3 linked regions of the Daphnia pulex genome follow. The protein of the gene in region 1 interacts with the protein of each later gene in a pairwise test. Links are inferred from orthologs where the notes say so. Each region holds a gene or a part of one and is shown in the gene's direction. Other genes may lie near its edges.

What was found.
Region 2: the proteins of protein lin-7 homolog C-like (region 1) and epidermal growth factor receptor-like interact in a two-hybrid assay, tested with the Caenorhabditis elegans proteins (3 studies listed by BioGRID). The link is inferred for Daphnia pulex from reciprocal best matches to the Caenorhabditis elegans genes lin-7 and let-23.
Region 3: the proteins of protein lin-7 homolog C-like (region 1) and protein hu-li tai shao-like interact in a two-hybrid assay, tested with the Caenorhabditis elegans proteins (3 studies listed by BioGRID). The link is inferred for Daphnia pulex from reciprocal best matches to the Caenorhabditis elegans genes lin-7 and add-1.

The regions. Positions count from the first base shown.
Region 1 is NC_060028.1:9,842,920-9,846,469, forward strand, and holds protein lin-7 homolog C-like, read left to right. Parts: upstream 1-1,517; 5' UTR 1,518-1,666; coding exon 1,667-1,709; intron 1,710-1,785; coding exon 1,786-1,827; intron 1,828-1,890; coding exon 1,891-2,139; intron 2,140-2,231; coding exon 2,232-2,341; intron 2,342-2,403; coding exon 2,404-2,559; 3' UTR 2,560-2,919; downstream 2,920-3,550. Other genes in the region: T-complex protein 1 subunit zeta-like, read right to left, coding at 3,078-3,147, 3,207-3,516.
Region 2 is NC_060021.1:730,301-734,523, reverse strand, and holds the start of epidermal growth factor receptor-like, read left to right. Parts: upstream 1-1,278; 5' UTR 1,279-1,537; intron 1,538-4,223. UniProt on the Caenorhabditis elegans protein: Tyrosine-protein kinase receptor which, upon binding ligand lin-3, activates 2 signaling cascades: the let-60/Ras and MAP kinase signaling pathway and the let-60-independent phospholipase C-mediated Ca(2+) signaling pathway.
Region 3 is NC_060022.1:4,675,318-4,678,968, forward strand, and holds the end of protein hu-li tai shao-like, read left to right. Parts: intron 1-61; coding exon 62-211; intron 212-497; coding exon 498-578; intron 579-880; coding exon 881-949; intron 950-1,344; coding exon 1,345-1,422; intron 1,423-1,841; coding exon 1,842-2,044; 3' UTR 2,045-2,061; intron 2,062-2,132; 3' UTR 2,133-3,420; downstream 3,421-3,651. Other genes in the region: tetratricopeptide repeat protein 1-like, read right to left, coding at 3,515-3,630. UniProt on the Caenorhabditis elegans protein: Membrane-cytoskeleton-associated protein that promotes the assembly of the spectrin-actin network. Plays a role in time-dependent memmory loss and the retention of conditioned behavior over time.

The DNA.
Region 1 (3,550 bases):
GAGCCAGCTATTTTGAAATAAATGCGGTTAGGATTTTTTAAATTTTAAATGACACGACACAAAGAATAGGTTGCATTTTATAAGCAGAATGACACAAGACTGAATTCCAAATGACGAAAGGAAATGAATATACTTGGGCCTAGCTTTTGCTATTTTTAACCACAAAGAAATATGGAGATTCCTGTAAATTAAGAAAATTGAAAAAAATCAAAGTAATTGACGTTACCATGGCGAAAGATGCAATCAGCAACAGCGTGATAACTTTGGTTGATTTCATGATGATGAATAGTCTGGATAAGAACTGTTAAGATTAAGTGTAGTAACTTTTTCTTGACTAAACCTCGCTCGTTCAAGAGAACACGATGCCAGCTAATATCGACACCGACTGCTATTTGTACCTCCTGTCCTGTCCGCACTAGGCGCGTTCTTCGTCTATCCCGGCGGGCGGCCAAAGAGCGGGCGGCGCGACGCTCACAGCATTTGTTGACTCAGCCGTCGTCTTTCAAGTGAATTACCATATCAATCTCTCGGCAACTTGTCTGAATACTTTTTTTTTTATGTTTTGTTTTTCGTCGTCCTCTGTCCCGAACGCACTCATCCGCTCTTCGATACTTGTGTTCTCCTATCAAATGCGGCAGACATCTAGGTCATAATTCAACATTTGACCTATTAAAGCGTAAACAAAATTCGCAAATCTGGAGTTGTTGCGTTACTTTGACATTCAAAAACATGAAACAGGGTAATGGATATTCGGACCTCATTTCATCACCAAAAATCTAGGCCAATTCCTCCTCCACCACTTCCCCTCTTGTGAGGATGAGTACTACACATCAGACAAAAATTGATTAGTTTAAATCGACTTCCATGAAAATCAGACTACAACTCTATTTCAAAACATTAGCAATCTGACTCCTACTGACACACCCAAACACATTTGTTTTCTTCATTTTGACCTTGTGCTTAGACATGTTTCTGTATCATCCTTTCATTCTGAATACGTAATCGGTATATCATTGAAATTTTTTAAAATACTTAATTGCAATAGTAGTTTAAATCCTAATAGAAACGTCAAAAGACCCTGGTACCAATGCCTGACTATTCCATCAGTTTTCTACTGTTAAATAAGCGACAACAAGTTTATGCTAAAGCAGAAAAAGAAAAACGATTCGATAAATCTGGGGGACTGTCATCAGCACCCTAACAAAGTGATGCTACTTTTGGAATAGTCAGATGTAAGCGGAACTTGGTATAAGGGTGCGGGGAGAGGGATTGGAGAGGGTATGGCACATGCTATTGATTACCTTCTAGTCTAGAGGAAACCGCTTCTGGCTGGCCGAGCATTACGGGGTACGGCAAATACAGCTACTATTTAACCTGAAATTTTTAAATACAGTTTTTTTTAAACATTAGACAATTAAAAATTTCTCGTTGAATATTCGAAAATATATCGGTACATTTCAGGTTTAAACTATGATATAACACTTTTTGTAATTAAAGAGGGCGTTGGAGAACAGATCCATCGCCGGACAAATCAGTTTTAGGGCGGAGCCTATGTATTGACAGAAAGTTCGTGTGTTTTGCCCTGAAAATTCTTCCATTTTTTAACCCAGTTTTGACATTTATTGAAGTTTTTCTCATTGCAAACCTCTACTTCTTGATATAAACTATGGCAGCTACTACTATAAGTGAACAATTGTCTCTCGACAAAGGTAAACGGCATTTACTTCTGAAGGCAACTAGCTGTCGTGGAACGCTCTTATTAATCCCTTAAAATTTATCTTCTAGATATAAACCGAGCTGTGGAATTGCTGGAGAAGTTGATGAAAAGTAAATCTTTAAAATATCAGTTATCAAGAGCACTAGGTCATAATAATTTCTAATCAAAACTAGGTGGAGAAGTTCCAACGGCAAAACTGTCTGCTCTTCACAAGGTGCTGCAGAGTGACTTTCTAAGAGCTGTCAGAGAAGTTTACGAACATGTTTATGAGACAGTAGAAATGGGAGGATCACCTGATGTCCGAGCTTCTGCCACAGCCAAAGCTACAATTGCAGCTTTTGCTGCTAGTGAAGGCCATGCCCATCCTCGAGTCGTAGAACTCCCCAAAACTGATGAAGGTCTTGGATTCAATGTCATGGGAGGTAACAAAATAAATACATTTTTATGCATATCCTTTCCTTGAGAATGCAATGGTGAAAATTAATTTTTATAATTACCAAATGAATGTTTGTAGGAAGGGAACAAAATTCACCAATTTACATATCAAGAATCATTCCTGGAGGTGTTGCAGACAGACATGGTGGTCTAAAGCGTGGTGACCAATTGCTCTCTGTTAATGGAGTGGTAAAATTGATAAACTTACTTCTTCCATTTAAGTTTTCTCTGACTGTTAATTTTTTTTTTAGTCGGTAGAGGGTGAAAATCACGAGAAAGCTGTGGAACTCCTGAAAGCTGCTCACGGTTCAGTGAAACTAGTTGTGCGTTACACACCAAAAATATTGGAAGAAATGGAAATGCGCTTTGATAAACAAAGGACCACGCGCCGAAGACAACCGTACTAAGTTCACTTTAACAAATCTCAATTAGGAGCATCATCGTCCCCATCGCAAATTTTGACTCCTCGTATTATCAATAGTGTAACCAATTCCCCATCCTGACTGTTACAAAAATATTCAATATTGTGTAGCTAAATATTTCATAGTTAAATTCTATGACAAAGACGGTTACACGTTATCACTCATGAATGTAGAGAAACCTTCATTCGTCCTTGCAATTGTTTTTTTGCTTATTTTGAACACAAGTTGCAAAATGGAAGAAATAGTAGCAACCTTTTCTTAAATGAAACCATTAACTAAGCTAAAACCTGATGTTAACTGATCTGTAGACTTATTTGTTGAAATGAATATAACTTCGGAATCAAACAATGCTGTTTTAGTAGTGATTAGCAAATTGTAATAACATTAGTTTCTCAAGCGGACGAAAATGGTAAGCCGGAACGAAATTAGAATTCAAGCAGATTGATTAGAAAAAAGTCATCCATTGCTGCTCAGGAACTCGGTGGACCTTGAGGCACGGCCATTTACTTCAATGAGGACAAACCAGCACGCATAATCTCATCTACCAAAAGCAGATTGCTAGCGATGACCGTGCTAAAAAAATAAAAATAAATAAATAAGTTGGTAACATCAACAATAATTTTGAAACTTACCAAGAATGGAGAATCTGTTTCTTAACACGATAGTTATCATAGATTCCTAAATCTGCTGGAATCATCGGCTCGCCCGATTGTAGATCAAGACCAATAAGGGGTCCACCTTCAACAAACTCTTGTTGCATTTTGACAATAGAGTCTTGAGGGTCAAATCCAGCGTTTTGTGCCAACACTTTCGGAATGACCAGCATGGCATCAGCATATGCTTGAACACCAAGACGGGCGCGACCCTTGACTTGCTCCTTGTATGCAACCAAGACCTTATGAGTTGCAATTTCAACAGCTCCAGCACCGGGAACGACGAAAGCTAGTATATCGATTATCAAATGATATTACCATCT
Region 2 (4,223 bases), on another chromosome or scaffold:
TGATATTTCCAACGAGTCCCAACCCAAAAAAGACGAAAGCATTTTCGTGTTTTTTATTATTATTTTGTTAAAACCATCAACATTGAGGCCTATTTCATTTGAATCTTATCAGAGAGAGAGCCGGCAAGTTTTATATATTCACAGATATATCCTGGACTTTGTGCTAAAAGGGTTGGCGACAGTCGCCTCACACCACCAAACTTTCAAGAAATATCAACCTTTTTGGGTTGGAAATATCTCGGTGTTTGATCTCTACTTAAAATAACCCTCCCTCCCCTGTCCTTTTTTTTTAACCAATTTGAATAGATATACGGCAAAGAAGGTAAAAAAGGAAAAAGGTGGAAATTGGGATGAAAAGTCAAGCCGCTCGCGCGCGCTTTCCAAGATGGCGGCGCCTGGAAGTCAGGAGGCCTCTGGATGGAGGAAGGGGGAGAAAAAATAGAAAATAGAGAAGGACGCCAGTAGATGTAGAAATCTGCCATGTGTTTACCTGTCGGTGTGTCTATATAGCCGGCAGCCATTTTTTTAATTTTTTTTCTCTTTTCTGAAGAAAAAGATAAATTATTCTTTTCTTTCTTATCACATCTAATACCTTTCTCACCTTTTGGTTAGTTCTTTCAGCTGCTGCACAGGTTTTTCCAGGCACACATAGACGAGACGTTCGTGAAAATTAGCGCCGACTTGTGACTTTTTTCACCTTTTTTCTTCTTCTTTTCCCGTTTGAATGTTATTTGGAATCTGGGTGTTATTTTTATTTTATTTTAAGAAAATGTCCAGGCCCTTTTTTTCACCTGTTTGATGACTACAGCAGACGACGATGGCTATCGAACCTTATTCGACTGCTGGTATAGATCGGCACAATAAGTTAAGGGACTCCCAAGTGTCTTATAACTTGGTGTGTTATCTGATGACGCAAGGCTGAGCACACCTTTGCACGTAACAATCGGACACTCTTGAGCAATACGAGTCGATCTGCATAAAGTGAACAGAATTGACTCGGATCAATTTCGATTATTTTTAAAAAATAAAATGCCGAATAGAATAGGAAGAAGAAGAAGGAAAAAGGGGGGGAAATGTACAAGAATGGAAGAAGAAGAAGAAGAAAATAAATAAAAAAAGGCCCCAGGGCAGACTCTTGTAACTACAGGTAGAAATAAAAAATGGGCAAATAAGAAAAGGAGGGAGAGCTACAGGTAGAAAAAAGGTAAGACGAGGCTTCTCTCTCTTTCAGGTGGTGGTGGGGGGGAAATGAGCGACTGGCTTTTTCTCAACTTCAGTCTCGAGTTTGTTGTCCGTGTGTCGAGGACGTCGTCTTACCGACTCTCACATATAAATAACATTTTTTAAATTTTGGTGTTGTGTGTGTCTTCTCACCTGTGTGTGTGTGTGGTTGGATGCCTCAACAGATTGTGTCTATAGTGAACAAGTTCATTTTTTTAGTTTAAAGTGAAGACTAAATAGTGTGGGAGGCTTGGATTAAATTGAAATTCGGTTGGATTATTTAACAGCGGTAGGAGGAAGAGTTAGGAGCCAACAGGTGAGATTTTTTGGTTTGATTTTTCGATGGCGCTAAATTTGAATTTGATCAATGGCTCGACGGACACAATTTAATTTATTAAGATCGGTTGGGATTAGAGAAGCTCAACAGGTGTGATAGACGGGCAGGATCGACCTTGGCCGTCGTCACACAAAAAAATAGATAAAATATGTCCAGCAAACAGATTGATGGGCAGCCGAAAAGGTCGTGTGAAATTCATTTCGTTTGAGCTTTGGGGAGGAAATCAAATGAATTTCAACTGGGCGAGAAAGTCTGTTTGAGCTGGGCTGGAAAAAAAATGTTTACGAGGTAATGATTCTCCTAGCTATCTAGCTAGCTAGGTATTAGGTTAGAGACGGCCATGAAACTAAGCCAAGTGGACGAGAGAGATTCTCCAGTCAGATTCTCTCGCAGTTCAATTTATCTCGGCCCGTCTGAACTGTGATGCGTTTGGTGCCATGGCAGAATTAAACAAGAAGAAGAAACATATATACATTCCTCCTTGTGGTGGAGGGCCGGCCGAGCTGCTGCTGACTCATCTGCGCTTCTGGCTCTTTTCGTGAAGGAGGGCGCGTTCGCCGTGACTTAGCGGGAAAGAAGAAAAAAAATAAAATATTCACCTGCTCAGCTCTCACAGCAGCTCAGTGTGTGTGTTGCCTTTTGGTCCGTCTGTGTACGTAATGACAGCGAAAAAAAGAAAATACTTGGCAACCATCTCATCATATCTTTGCTGGGCAGACGAATAGGCTTTCCAAATTCGGCTGGAAAAATATTTTTTCTCTTTTTTCTCTTTTGAAATTGATTGTCTCTGAGTCAGACGGCCCTGCCCGCGCATTCATGTCACTCTACAAACAACAAAAAATAGAGAGTTGAACGCGTCTGGGAGAAAAATATAAGTTGACTGGGCCGGCCAGCCACCCCTTATAGACGGAATATGTCACTTAATTGGGAGTCCAGACGGACAACTCTCTTATTTTTTTCGTTTGTGGTTGTTGTTTGTTGTCGTTTGATGTGATTGGAAATTCGCCTCACGTCCCGCTCATTTTTCACCGTGGCGACGACGGGCGACGAAGGGCCAGCCATTTTCCCCTATTAGGATTAGATATTTTTTGGTTGGGTCCATCCAGGACGAGACGGGCCATGTTTATATAAATAAAAAGGGACTCGTCTACTACTACTACAAGTCACCCGCTGCTGTCGTAACTACCTGCGACTTAATATCATCATCAAGACGGGCAGCAGCTGGGCCAAAAAAACAAAAAACAAAAATAACATTTTATTTATTTTTATTTTTATTTGACCAGAGGGGGTTGACAGATGGCCCTTTGTCTCTGTCTCGTCCGATTGTTTTCATCTTTTTTATTCCCATTTTTAAAACGGAAATGTCGGAAATATATCTCACACAATGTCCGGCTCTTTTTTAAATAAAATTTCCATCTTCTTAGTATCAAACGGATGGAATAGAATTGCGTTTGGATTGAGACGTGTGTTTAGAGAAATAGCCCAGACTTGATGTAGAGATCAAGTAGAAGAAAAGAAGCTGAACGCTGGCCTGGAATACCAATGACTGGGCGACAAGATAAGACAGGGAAAAAAGCCCAGAGCCACACAAACGGTAGAAGGAGACAATATAAATCGTCGCTCATTTGTTAGACATTACATCAGAGAATGGATAGAAGAGAGAGAGAAGCATCCGTCACCATGTCAACCCGTTGAGAGATTCTTTTGCCCGGCATTTCTTTTAAAACTATCGCCAGCACCTGTCCGTTTTTTGTTTCCCGAATGTCTAAATCGTCGTAGGAATTCGACTGGGAGGGGATTCCAATCATCCGTATAAGGTCCGTCATCCGCTGGCTCACGACGGTACCTCATCAAGAGAGAAACGGACAATGTTTTTCTTTTTCTTGCCCAGCTTCTTATATTTTGTATAGAGTCCGCCGGGATCGTAAACATCACACGTTTCTTTCTTTTGGCTCCTGATGCTGCAGGGCCTCACTCATTGGCCCGTCATATCGTTGGCGGCGGCAATTTAGAGAGACGGCCCTGACGGGCGGCGGCCTCGTATAGCAACAGGAGAGGATCGAGTATCTTTGATGTACAACACACACAAGTCCAGGGGGCTCAATTCACGGCCGCAGCAGCGGTCGTGCAGCCGCCCGATGGAATGTCTCAGCTGCTGCCGGCCCGTCATATAAAAATCTCAACAGCCGGCCAACTCTATATACTATATAAGATAAAATATAAAAGTCCCAGCATAGCCTCATCATCATCATCAGAAAGATGGCCAGGTCTTCCACTCTCTTTTCTTCCCAAATGGCTTCATTTGCATCTGGCCGGCCAAATGTCTTGGCCGTCAGAAAAAAAAAATGAAAAACAGAACAAGTTTAAAAGAAGGTACGACGACCTTGTCGTCATCTTACATTGGAAAATAATGATGATGGCCATTTTCTTCTTATTTTCCCAGCTGCTGGGCAACATGGCGCCTAGCTTCTCTTGTTGTTGGCCCAGCTCACACAACTACTTGGTGTACATGTAATCACTGTGTCCAGCTGTTTTTTTTTCTGCCCCCTCAAAGGAAAAATGTTTCTTCTTTCCAGGAGGAACTTATTTTCTTCTTATAGGCCCGGCTAGACCAATAGCAACACAGCCCAGTGGTACACCTTTTAGGTTGGACCCCCGAGGCACA
Region 3 (3,651 bases), on another chromosome or scaffold:
ATCCACTATAAAGTCAGCTAAAGTTGGAGCAAGTTATAATTGATTCTCTTAAAAACTACAGAGGAACACGAAGTCAGTTACTCAACTACGGAAGCTCCCACGATGGAGCCTCTTGTAGCCGAGTCTGTCGTACTATCTCCAAGTGGTGAGCAAGTCCGTCCCGAACGGAAATCATCACCAACATCGCCACGGCCGCTAAGTGACGACGAAGGTACGTCTTTCATATCAATCATCTTATTATTTGGTTGTTTCTTCTTCTCGTTGTGGATCGATAGCGGTGGTGGTGGGCAATTTTATTCGTATACTCGTTTTCTCTATTATTATTATTATTTATTTTTTCGTCACTTCCTGTTAGTCGTTCTTATATTTTCCTCTTCTTTCCAATTCAATTCACTGTCGTTTTTGTTTCCCTTGATTATTATTTTTTTTATATATGTTTCTCCTCTTTTTCCGTGTTGGGTTTTCGGGAAAACACACAAATACCTTTCGTTGAGTAGCAAGTCCACGAGTAGTTGAGGTGGCTGTGAAACACGTGCCGCAAGAAGATCACGCACAACGCCAACTTCTCCCGGCAGACGGTTAGTTTGTTTTTTTCTCATTTGTCTTTTTTATTTTTCCTCGTCTTTCTATTCTCTCTATCCTTAGCTGTTGTGGTTCCAAATTTAGTTAGTAATCGAGTCGCAGTCAAGCATGTGTTTTGCATGATGTCATGGCCAGAATTGAGAATGCACATGATGAATGAATGGGTGTGGTGATGACTGCTTCGTGCTGTGTGTCTTTTTGTGTCGCTGCATGTAATCGTGGATGCGAGAAAAAACTAGCCACCCTTTTTATTTTTTTTTGTTTGCTGTTTTGTTGGCTGTTCCGTCTGCCCCGGTAGATACCACAGGGGCCGAGTCGCCTGAGCCTTTTGCCGAGCGCTCGAAATCCGCCCGCCTTCCGCGCGACGGTGAGTGATGAGCCTCTTTCTAACATTATATAACCCTCTTGATTATAAGCCGCCCCTTGCCAGCAGTGCGGCCTATAATTTTATTGAATGATGTATTTTTTTTCAAACTTTATCCTGTAACGTCTCCATTTAATTTCTTTTAAATGCTTGGCATGCTTAGTAATTGTCAAGAAATTCACCGCTTTAAAAAAAAAACCAAACAAAAGAACACAGATCTCAGACTGTACATTGCTTAAGACGTTAAAAAAAAACTAACGTGAATTTCTAGTCGATTTTTAAAGACGTTATAGACCAACATTAAGGCTTATCTGTTCCTTATAGTTGTCGCTTTTTCTGTTGTGTGTTTTTTTTTTATTTCATTGTTTTTTTGTGTGTTGGGCCGTCGTGTGGATTAGGGTCGGGCGATGCTTGGGACATGTTCAAGCGTCGCTCGTGGTCGCTGGGCCGCGACAAGAGGAAACACCAGAATAAAGGTTTGCATTCACACATTACAGTCGTTTCTCATCCCAGTCCCTCCGCTTGTTTGATTATTCATTGTTGTTTGCGGCTTGCTAACTTCCCTTTTAGTTTGTTTGTTTTTTAACTGTGTAGCACTGTAGCTAATAGCTGTTGTTATTTAGTTGAACTAATACCTAAAAACGTTTCTTAAACACTCTCGATGAAGCCTGTAAGACCCGGGTCTCTAGTCAGTCAGTTGTGCCTCGAAATAGGTGAATAACTAACTACCAGATTTAATTGAAGTTTTTCTAACAACCTGGGTGAAGTGATTAAAAAAATAATAACTTTTAAAACGATTTTGAGTGGCAACTCGTGCTAATAACCCACTGACATTGACGATGACACTCGAGGACGTGAATAAACTAATGCGTTTGATTGCAAACAATTTACACAGGCGCTGAAGTGAATGGCGACGAAATAGACAACCCACAGAGCCAGGTGTCGCAGAGTAGCCGCGACGAATCGTCAGCTCGCGACATGTCGACGGAAGATTCTCCCTCCAAATCCAAGGACAAGAAGAAGAAGAAAGGACTTCGAACACCATCCTTCCTCAAGAAGAAAAGCAAGGAGAAGAAGAAGCCAACACCAGAAGCTTGAACAACTACTTCACTTTCGTACGTTTTCAAAAATGAAGTTAGTTCTCGGTCGTGTGAAACTAATCAAAGGCTTTTTCATCTATTTGCAGGCTTTTCAGTGTTCGGAAATAATCTATAAATGAGAAACAAACTCTTTTGGGACTCTTTTGGGGACAGCGCACTGCCACTCGAGTGTCGTCGGGGTTTTTCTCGTTTTTTTTTTTTTTTTTCCTTATTTTTTCTCATCTTAAAGAAAAAAAAAACCATGAATAATCTCTTCTATATACTTCAGCTACTCTCCGGTAGTCCTCTTTGGTTTGCGTCAAGTATCGTAAAAAAAAACTAATCCGCCTTGCTTTAGATTGGAGAAAAAAAAAAAGTGTTTGGTTTTTAGTATCTCTTTCTCCGTTACACTCTTGTGAGACCAGAATCTCTGATTCAAGGATTGTGGACGACGAAAGGCACTTTGCAGAAACTTTTATTTGAAAAAAAAAACAAAACAAAAACACATTAAACTCTTGGCTTCTTTGTACCACCTTTCTTTTCGACCCACTACGCTACCCGGTAGACAATAATTGGAGATTTCGCGCGCTGCAATTGTGTAAAGAACGTAGGGGTCTTTGGGAGATCGACGAAAAAACCTGTTTGTTTGTGTTGGGCTTGGTTGGACATCTTCGGACTGAGACATACAATAGAACCAAAATGGATGAAATGTGGCGTGGGGTTTTCTCGATAAGTGTCGATTTCTCAATCGCAGTGCGAGGTGCTTTTTTCAATTCAAAACCTAAATCCTGTGGATTGACTTGATGTTAATACTTCGTTTTAATTTTCTTCTGCCGTCTTTTTCTTCCCCACCGTTGGCCTCTTCATTTTGTTTCGAGTTAAGATTCGTCAGGTGTGTCTATCCCCCCCCCCCATTATTATTCCTTTTTGTTAATGTAGTACTAATTCATCCGTGTGGGCCACTTACTTTCTTCCTCAATCCCATGAAATTTACTTTCTATATCCCAAATCATGTAGCACACACATCCCCCTGCTATTTTGCTATCTTATTTATATTTTACCTTTCTTAAACCTGGCAATTTTCTTCAAATCCTTTCCATCTATTCCTTTCTTTTTTCGACTTTTTTTTTCTAGATTTGTTAAAAAGCGTTTTCGTTGGTTTGGTATGCTTTTTTTAAACTGTGGAGAAAAGGTAGCTTGAACACACATGCCAGCTTGACCAGCAGCTTAACATTAAAACAAAAAAAACCCTTTGACTACCGATTTTTTTCTTCTGGTATGCAGTTCCGTGTCATTTGAAATCGAACGAAAAGTGTACTATGATGTATCACTATATAACTGTACTGCACGTGGCGTCTGGCCGAAAATTATACCTTAATCTGAATGTCCACAGAACGAGGAATTTATTCAAATTATTTCCAGCTTTACCAATTTTTATTATTGACATTTCTTTTTCAAATAGTGGCCTCAATGAGGGTAAGCATATAAATCATTTGGACATGTTAACTGAGTAAGAGCCTGTGGCTGGATCTTGATTGATTTTGAAATTATCAGTTGACAATCCAAAAGGTTTAAGAAACATATTTCCCAAATCTTTCATTTTTCCTGCACAAAGTATTTTGCACA